Linked DNA regions of Caenorhabditis elegans. The protein of the gene in region 2 purifies or fractionates together with the protein of the main gene of each other region. This does not show direct contact. Each region holds a gene or a part of one and is shown on either strand. Other genes may lie near its edges.

What was found.
Region 1: the proteins of maph-1.2 (region 2) and cex-1 fractionate together in Caenorhabditis elegans (co-fractionation; one large-scale study listed by BioGRID). This does not show direct contact.

What each region holds. Positions count from the first base shown.
Region 1 is NC_003280.10:5,445,945-5,449,445, reverse strand, and holds cex-1 (Calexcitin-1), read right to left. Parts: upstream 1,766-3,501; 5' UTR 1,764-1,765; coding exon 1,649-1,763; intron 1,606-1,648; coding exon 1,553-1,605; intron 1,500-1,552; coding exon 1,179-1,499; intron 1,132-1,178; coding exon 1,006-1,131; 3' UTR 812-1,005; downstream 1-811. Other genes in the region: nmr-1 (LITAF domain-containing protein), read left to right, coding at 2,842-2,973, 3,104-3,186, 3,246-3,447, 3,496-3,501.
Region 2 is NC_003279.8:10,417,481-10,423,912, forward strand, and holds maph-1.2 (Microtubule-associated protein futsch), read right to left. Parts: upstream 4,379-6,432; coding exon 4,157-4,378; intron 4,112-4,156; coding exon 3,191-4,111; intron 3,105-3,190; coding exon 2,928-3,104; intron 2,774-2,927; coding exon 2,390-2,773; intron 2,274-2,389; coding exon 1,806-2,273; intron 1,507-1,805; coding exon 1,239-1,506; intron 1,193-1,238; coding exon 1,008-1,192; 3' UTR 754-1,007; downstream 1-753. Other genes in the region: paml-2 (EGF-like domain-containing protein), read right to left, coding at 5,478-5,502, 5,544-5,614, 5,803-6,351.

The DNA.
Region 1 (3,501 bases), on a different chromosome or scaffold from region 2:
TGATCGCCGGGATTGTCAGCTGGTGGTCCACTCTTTCCCACGCAGTGTCACAAAAATAATGGACGCACATGTGTTGTCTGTTATAAGTTTAGATCAGGTGGGAGACAGAGAGAAAATGGGTCAGTTGGGGTGGGAGGTAAGCTATTTTAGATATAGAAGAAATGTTTTTAGGTTATTTGATACCTGAAAACACACGTAGTTGTTTGTAAACAAGAAGTACCCTTGGAATTGAGCCAACTTTTTGAATAGGAGGAATTTTACAGTCATTACGAGTAAGGCTTTCGATAAATTATTTTTGAATTAAACAGATATCTTGACTCGCTTGGCATTTGGCTCCGGTTTCTTGCTCAGGCGCGGCTCAAAAAATATTTTTTGGCACGTTATCCCAGAGTTCAGCTTTTGCCCAAGTTTGGCCAACTTCTGATTCGCGTTAATAATTTCTGGGCCAAACTAGGGCGAGAAACTGGAGCCAAATGACGAGCGCCTCTATTTTTTGCGACACTTGTGCTCTATAATTTCTCAATTTATTGAATCTCAAATATGTTTTGAAACCGCAAAAATATAGTTACTGCTTCTAAGAGCAAAATACAATGGCTTCATTCAGCGGCTTTTCGTAAGCTTCCAGTTTTTACTGCCAAGTCTTTACTGAAAAGTCAGCAAAAAGAATTAAACCATTGTATGTTATGCTCTTTCCCTTCTAACAATCCAACCAACAAACAATCCCGAGTTTTCCCGAGCCACTATAAAAATTTAAAGTTTCTCGGAAACTTTTTATTTTACCCAAACATCTGGAGGATCATTCATCAAAATTACTTGTTTGTCATGATTTTATCTGAATTTTTATGCTCAAGCACATCTGGTGTCAGAGACAAATTAAAGGTTGTATGTTCAAAAATAATACTATATGTTGTAAAGCATTAGAAAAGTAGTGGAAAGTGAAGGGTTTTCAGAATATTTTAAGGGTGTGGGGGATGAACAATGTACATGGTATAGAGCAAGGAAAATTTAAAAGTCAATAATTCCGAAGAGATGATTTCCAACGTCAGATTTATTTGTTGAGTAGAACAACTGATGGAAGTATGTGTTCCAGGTCTCTGGCTTCATTTGTGGAACGTATTGACCTTTCTTGTCCTGAAATAATTCCTTTTAAATTAATCAAAAAAATATTTAAATCCCACCACTGAAAACTTATGGAAAGCTGCATCACACTCGGATTGATCAAATCCATATGTACTCATTCCATCGGTATACTCGGCAAGATCCATGACTCCATCACAGGAAACATCAAAAAGTTTGAACATAAAGTTCTGATAGTCCTTGAACCATTTTGGTTCAGTCTTCGCATCGGTCTTCTTCAAAAGTCCGATCCATTCATCAATCGAGATCAATTGATCCTTATCAGCATCAGCAATGGAGCACAGTCCTTCCCAGAGAGCAGCAAGAGATTTCTTGGCAAAGCCAGTTTGAACTGATTCAGCTCCGTAAATGTCACGGACTTTCTGGAAGGTTAAAAGAAAATAATAGAATTTAGAATTCTAAAAATAATTCTCACCTTGACAACCAAGTAAAAATCTCCCCAATCGACTTGATGAGAAGCATTTCTATCTGAAACATATAATTGAAAGTAAAAAAGAGTGGGAAAACTAACCAAAAAATAGTGAGAAAATGCGTTCCCACTTCTTGACAAGGAACGGATCAACATCGGAATGTTTCTTGATAAGATCTTCAATGGAAACTGCTGCTGTAGGCTTTGCAACAACCATTTCTGAAAGTATAAGATTTGACTGAAAATTATAAAATTATGAACTTGAGAAAGTCTAGAAATCAAGAAAAAATATCTAGAAATGAACATTCCATGGGTTGTGAAGATGCTTTTATCTCACTTTAGAATGTCTGACTCCGCCCCTCTGTGTACGAATTGAAGTGCTCTTTTGTGATGATCATAGCTCCTCCTTGCGGCGACGCCCGCACACAGCACGAGATATTACACGGAATACTTATGTGATTCATAGGAAACAAGGAAATCGAAAAAATAATAGGATTTTGAGGAGGTATTTTTAGATGAATGCTTATGATGTTATGATGAACCCAAGAAATTCTGAATAGACATATGTCAGAACGGGGTAGGAGCTCCAGTGTCGCTTTTGAAATAAAAAATCAAGTGGTATACTTCTCGTATATACCCTTCTGAACTAATAAAATAATTTATCTTTTGAAAAAGTTTGAAAAAGAAAAATGCCCAAAACTTGAATTTTAATGTTTTGTATTTTGAGCATATCGTTCAAACGTCGTGATCTGAAAGTAGAAAGATCTAAATATTCGTGACACAGTTTGGTTTGAAGGTCTTAGTGGTAATTTTTTATTACAGAAGCAACAAAAAGTTGACATATTTTCAGAATTTCCAAAAAAACGTTTAAAATTTCAATTTCTTCGATAGAGTTCTAAAAATTTTTTGGAACGGATTTTGTAATATCCGCTGATAACCGTTCAAGAACAATTTGAATTTTGAAATAATTTAATCAACTAGTATCCAGTGCTCTTTCTCACTGCTCCACCCATTTTTCAACCCATTTCCTTTACTCAATTTCGCCCGTTTTCCTTTTGCTCAAATGTGCCCACCAAATCATCTTTCTTCGTCTTCTTTTCTCTTATTCGGAAGGAGAAGAGGTGAAAGTAGAATACGTTTTTTTGTTGAAAAGAGAAGAGCACTGCCACTTTTCTCTTATTTCCATCCTTCTACTACCTCGTTTTACTTTCCATTTAAAAACCCGTTTAAAGTTCCAAAATTTCAATTATCTTGCTTCTGTTTGGAACACGACAAACTTTAGTTTTGTTACAGATATGTTCCGAATATCAGTTATATTTATTTGGATATTTTTACAATTGGGATACACAATAGACTATAAAGTATCAGTTTTAATTGTTTCTGAGCCGAATCAAGAAACTTTCAAAGAATTGAAAGTTTCCGTTACGGTAAGTTTTGAAATTTTTACTTTAAAAACTTACAAACTCGGCATTATAGAAGAAGCTCCAAACTTTTAAATTAGCATATTCATATTCACAAAATATCATATTTTCAACTTTTCTTCTTAATTTCTTTCAGGCGGCATTCGTGGAAGTTTTTGGAAGCACATCATATCACTTGGGGAATGACACTATTTCCGCAGCTTTTGTAGATGCAAAAAGGTTTTCGAAATTATTATTTGTTGAGCTTTTCCCCCGAGAAAGACATTTCTTATATTCAGTGGAGATAATCGTCTGGAATTGACTCAGGATATTGTGTGCAGCCAGATGCTCAATCACTCATTGGCTTCTGTTATATTTTCTCCATTACTGACATCATCTTCAAGATTTATTGATTTGGTTACATCATCAGCATATACACTTTCATTTTACAAACTTCCAGTTGTTGGAGTAATGGTTAGAGATGCAGAGTTTAGTAAAAAGGTGATCGTTAAATAAATTGACTAATTTTGTTTTAAAAGTTCAATTTAGAATATC
Region 2 (6,432 bases):
GGGATTGAAATTTCCCGATTTGCCGTAATTGAAAATTTCCGGCAAATCGGCAAACCGGCAACTTGCCGGAATTGAAATTTCTGGCAAATCGGCAGACAGGCAAAATGCCGAACTTGTCGAAATTGATAATTTCCAGCAAATCGGCAAATCGGCAAATTGCCAGAATTGAAATTTCCGGCAAATCGGCAAATTGACGGAATTGAAATTTCCCGATTTGCCGTAATTGAAAATTTCCGGCAAATCGGCAAACCGGCAACTTGCCGGAATTGAAATTTCTGGCAAATCGGCAGACAGGCAAAATGCCGAACTTGTCGAAATTGATAATTTCCAGCAAATCGACAAATCGGCAAATTGCCAGAATTGAAATTTCCGGCAAATCGGCAGACAGGCAAAATGCCGAACTTGTCGAAATTGATAATTTCCAGCAAATCGACAAATCGGCAAATTGCCAGAATTGAAATTTCCGGCAAATCGGCACTTTTTTTTTGGTAAATTCAGAATTTAACTTTCAAAATTGTACGCATCCTATCAATGTTACTATATCTATTTTGAAAAATAAGCTAATTCTATGAAAATATCGAGAAAAATCTGAGAAAATTTCCAAAAAGGCAGTTTGAAGTGTTTCCGTCTGATAAAATATCCCTCTAAACATTTCCGGCAAACGTCAAATCGGCAAATTGCCAATTTGTCGAACTGCAATTGCCGCCCACCCCTGATTCATATTTTCAAAGTGGTTGGAGCAATGTCATGAACGACTGCTAAAACACTGTATTTAATGATTGAATTTGGCAAAAAACTGCCAATAAATATACTATAAATAATTGAGGTATGGTGGACAGCATTCGGAGGGGGCCAAAAGATGGGGGCTATATAAAACATGAAAACTTTGCAATAAATTTACTCGGGGGGAAAAATAATAAATAAGTTATGCGGGGGGGGGTGCAAAAATTCACAGGAAAATAGTGGGGGAGATTGGTGGCGATGGTGGGAGATTGATTGGCAGTCAATTAAAGCAAATCGACTCTGGCCAAATCATACTCAACGACTCCGGCGTCCGAGCTCACTGTCGTCCGCTGCTTCTCCACGGGCATTGAAAACTGCAGATGATTCGCGGCGAATTGCTCCTCGTTCTTCTGGCGGAAATCGTGCAGCATCGGAGAGGAATGTGTTGGGATCACGTTGCATGGATGAGCTGAAAAATAATTTATAAAACTTGCCAAATTTGAGAATGAGCTTACCACGATCACACCATGTTTGCTTTCCTCTGAGAATCGACTGCAGCTGCTCTCCGGAGATTTCCTTCGACGCGAGGATCACATTTCTCGAGCGCACCTTTGAGATGAACTCTTGCAGACCGTCTGCTTCAACGGAGGTCTCCAATTTCTCGTTCCTTGGCACTGTGACCACGTCGAAATAGTATGGACGCGCGAATTTGACTGGCTTCGCTGAGGCGACGGATCCTGGAGCAGCTGGCATGTGGAGATTTTCTGGATGAGAGGCATCGATCTGGAAAATTAAATTTTACATTGAAATTAAATATATTTTCTAATGTTTTCGGTGAAAATACATGTAATTACTCTTGAAATTCTTTTTCAAGAATAAATACACAGATTCCCTCCATGATCAGGCTTGATCAGTTAGGAATGATTTTAAAGAATGTGAGTTTTTGGAAATTGTTCCTTTTTGTACAAATTTTCATTTTTTTTTGTTCCTCATAGAAATCACAATTTTTCAATTTACGTTCAAAATATCGGTTAATCCTAACAGAAAACGGTTTTTCTGAACTTTTAAACATATTAAACTACCTGTTCACTCTCCTGTGCACATGCATTGAGTACAGCATCCAATGCTGGATCAGTCTTCTCGTACTTTACAGCAGCTCCATTCTCAATCACATTGGAGTGCGACTGCATCAAATCATGCTTCGGAATCTTGATTCCTCCATTTTGTGCTGCATGTGCTTGTTCCCCGTGGCCGTTCGTTTCCGATCCGTTCGAGGTAACAATGCTGCTGGCAAGTGCACTGGTGAATGGCAGAGTGGCGTCCTCAATCATCTGATTGCTCAGCTTTCGCACATACTCATCCGTCTTCTCGTCGAGAGCCAGATTCTGAAGTTCTGCCGACAACTGAGTGACTTCTCCAACGGCCTTGGCAAGATCCGCTGCAACTTCAGCGCTGTTAGTATCCATGCTGATGTCAACTAATTTGGACACATCTTCATTGAATTCGGCAAGAGTGCCATCGTCACGTGGAGCTTGGGGGATCAGTGGTTCCTGAAAATTAAATAATTTTGAAAATTGAGAGTGAAATTTGAAAATTTCAAGCATTTTTTGGATAGAAAAGTGAGTTCATTTGCATGCTGAAAAATAACAATTTTGGGATATTTTACCTCAAACCCAGGAGCAATCTTCTCCAGTTCATCATCCAACTTCACAAGACCATCATTTGGTCCCTTTGGTGATGGAGGAATGAATGGAACAGCAGCAACAATGTTCGGGAGCTCTGGATCAGGAGTAGCGATGATCAAATCACCACTTGGCACAACTGGTGCAGATGGGTCGGGGTGTGATGGCTTCAGTGGATCGAAATCGTCCAGCTCGACTGGATCCGGCTTCTTGAAAGCATCGACTGGCTCTGAAATCCTGTCTTCCCCGGAACCGCCAGCAACATTCGTCTCTGGACGTGGCTCTGGCTTCTTGAACGCGTCAACTGGTGGCGGAATTTCGTCTTCGACGTCAGCCAGATTTGCGACATCATCGACTTCATGTGGAGCCTGAAATATACCGATTCACCATGACAATACCACAATATTAATACAAAAATCTAATTACACAGACATCAACGACATAGAAATGCATCAAAAACTAGATATATTCAGTGAAAAATTGAAATATATTTTCGGTTTCTGTGTCAAAAGTTCTTATCACCTTCGCCAAGTCCTCGGCGTCAACTATCGGTTCCTTTGGATGCGTGGCTCGAGCCTCTTCAAGACGTGGTGGTTCCGGTGTTGGTGGAATCACGACAATATCCATTGGAGCCGATCCTTGGTTGAAATCTTCTGGAAACAGCGAGTCGTCGAGAACGATGGTGACGTCGTTCGGATCCTGAAATGAAACACACCACTGCTAAGCGAAAAAGGAAAAGCAGAGGACTAGAGATCTACCGATCGGAATGAAAGAAATCAACTTACCCTTCGAGAAGCTTCTGGAGCTGTAGCTGGAGCCGATGATGTCGAAGCTGGAGCTGTAGCTTTTGGAGCTGAGACCGCCGAAGCAGGCTTCGATGGAGCGGCTCTTTGAACTTTGCCAGCGACTTTCTTCTGAGCGATAGGCTCGGCCTTGGGTGCCTTCGCAGGGGCTCCTCTTGGTGGCGCTGGTGCAGATCTCGCTGGAATTGGAGCTCTAGTCGGAGCCTTCGATGCTGGAGCGGCCTTCGGTGGTGCAGTTGCTCTCGGTGGAACGGCAGTTCTGGTAGCAGGAGTTGCACTTCGTGTAGTCGTCGGACGAGCTGGGCCTGCTGGAGCACGAGAAGTCAACGCTCTGGGGGCACTGACTGCAGGGACTGCTGGACGAGTTCTTGCGGCGCCGGTTGTAGATGCAGATCTAGTAGACGGTTTCCCGGCAACAGGTCGTGGAACGGCAGGAGCAGGAATACCCAACAACGCATCCTTCGACTTCACGGTGGGCGCGTTGAGGAATGGAAGTGATTTCGCTGCCTTGTCGAGCGATTGTTGGATCCTCGCAAGTGAGCTCGTCCCCGAAATAAGCACTCTGACCGCCGATTGATCCGTCATCGCAGGCCTCCAGAGCAGGACGCCGATGGTTCCATTCTCAGCGGCCGCCTTCTCCACTTCTGCCTCGTTTCCTCCTGCCAACGCCTTTGTGATCATATCGGAGTCTTTGACGTCTCCAGCCAGAATATACATGGAGAGAACTCCTTTTGCAGCAGACTGGTATATGATGTGTGCCGGATATTTCGGGTTGAACAGTGGCGGTGCAACGGAGAGAAGCTTCGAGTTCGCTTCTTGAATTGCTTTGGCAATCTCTCCACTGCTTCCCGGCTTGGCAGTCTTGAACGGCTTCGTGTTGGTGAACACCGGCAACGGTTTTCCCTGAAAAAGTAGATTATCAAAATTTTCATTAAAAATTCTACAAACCTGTTCCAACAGAGCAGACGTGGTTCCAAGATTTCCCAGCGTCGGAGCGGCGAGCAGAACGGCAGAGACGTCCCTGACGTGAGCCACAAATCCCGGGTTCTTTTCGGCGAACCCCCCATCGAGAATGTAGACGCCGTCGAAATCAAACAGGGCGGCCGTGTTGGCCGCACCGCCCAAGACGTAGATGCACGCCTTTGACGACATGATATATTCCTCCGGCATCTGGAAAAAATGTTCTTTTCAAGAGTTTTAAACGCGTATACGTATAAAATGAAAGACAACGCTGAAGGATTAAATTATGGCGAATTTTATGCCAAAATAATTACAAAAACCCTAATTTCGGAGTTTTTCGCGCTTTTCTGTAGACTTAAGTTCATTTTTCAACCATATTAGCGACTAAAAATGTTCAAAAACTAATCAAAAATGTGAAATAAACGACAAAATTATAGGGAAAATGCAAAAGCTTCTTGGCTGCTGACAAAATTGAAGATTTTTAGGATTTACAAAAAAAAAAAGGTTTCAGTGGGCGGTGCCAACTCGCAACCACCGCACGCTCATTTCGCAAGCCTCGCACGTTTTTTCGGTGATCTTTTTAAATACCTTTTTTCAAGAAAAAACGAGCGAGAATAAACAAATAAACAAATAAACAAAAACGAGAGAGAAAAACACGAATGAGCTCTCTCGCCGCCTTATATAGCGCGGTGAGAGACGCAGAGAATGCAGTTAAATCAGAATACGACCGCTGCCGCCGTGGGTCAAGATCACTAGTGATATCAGTCTCTTCCTTGTTTGATCTACCAGTAGAAGGGCTGAGCGCCTGCGATTGGCGGATTTTTTTCATTTTTAACTTTTTCAATGTCGCTGAATCAATACGCCACTTCTATTGGAAGCTAGTATTTCTGGTTATTTTTAGATTAGGTTTGAGTCTTGTAGTGCTCCAAAAAATCAAAATCTTTTAAAATACACTTAGTCATCATTCCGATAATATCGATGTTGTCAATTATTTCGCTTCTGTTCATTACGTTCCATGATATTTCGATTTTTCATCAATTGATTTTGGAAGAGAAAACACTACTGCTCCATATTCTAAACGAAGGCGTACGAAAGTTTTATATGTATAAGAATATCGCTAGTTTCAGATTGGAGGAAAGTACATTTAACAAGGGATCAAAATTCTCTTATCCGCAATAGTCTACAAAAAACAGATTTTTCAGGAATTCCGAAATATTCTGCCTGCCAACAAAATAATACTATGTTATGTTAACAAGATGCTTCATTTCATGTTTCAAATAAAGATCACAATTAATCCATCATTTAGAAGTCATCTTTTGATTTTTCCGTAGTACCTAAAAGATGTATTAAAGTTTTAATTTAAGAGTAAGTTTACTTGAATTTGATGGCCGAATTCATAAAGTTGTTTTGAGACGTTGCTTCTTCTCTTGCAATTTTGTAGGTTTCCTAAAATTTGTTTTCGTTTTGGTATTGTTTAGTTTTAATTTGAGACTCGTCAATTTTACAATAATACATTTTGATGGAAATATGACCTAAAATTATTCTGATTGACTTTTCAAAATTGAAAGTACTGGGTTTCTTTTCAAAACTCTAGCTTCAAAGGAAATACCCTTCAGGCTACGAAAATATAATACCTTATCAATTTCATTATTAAATCTCTTTCTGTCAATATCATCAGCATCATCATAGTACTCTTCTGGTTTGAAAACATCGATTCCGGGGACTAGCATAAATTTGGTCACTCTTGCAGTTCCATCCTCTTTTTCTGCACATAGAGTCACAACTTCACTCTTTGCATTGGTTCCCAATAAATCATTTCTTGGTGGTCGTTCAGCGACTGATTTCACAAATTCCGCAAATGTTTCTTGGAGTTGTTCTTTTTGAAATTGAGTTCCAGCCAAATCATGATGCTTCTTTATCTCAGTTCGCAGAATTTCCAGTAAACCAGCAGAGACATCCAGTCCTGCTTCCAATTTCTGATTGAGAATCAAATCCCATTTGTGATGTAGGAATAATCTTTTATTCAATGGAAGCATTTGTTGTTTCATTATTTCTTGTTGTTCTTTTGGAAGCTTTTGAATTTCTTTCACTTCCTCACGAGTCCACATGGAAATCGGATCATAGGATGGAGCAAATCGAGCAGGAAACTTTTTCATCGCGAGCCATAGAATAGAGGACCAACACTAAATAATGGTATAGTATCATTTAGGGATTTCATGACTATGTTCTACTCGACGTATGTACTACGCCTGCCTACAAGGTAC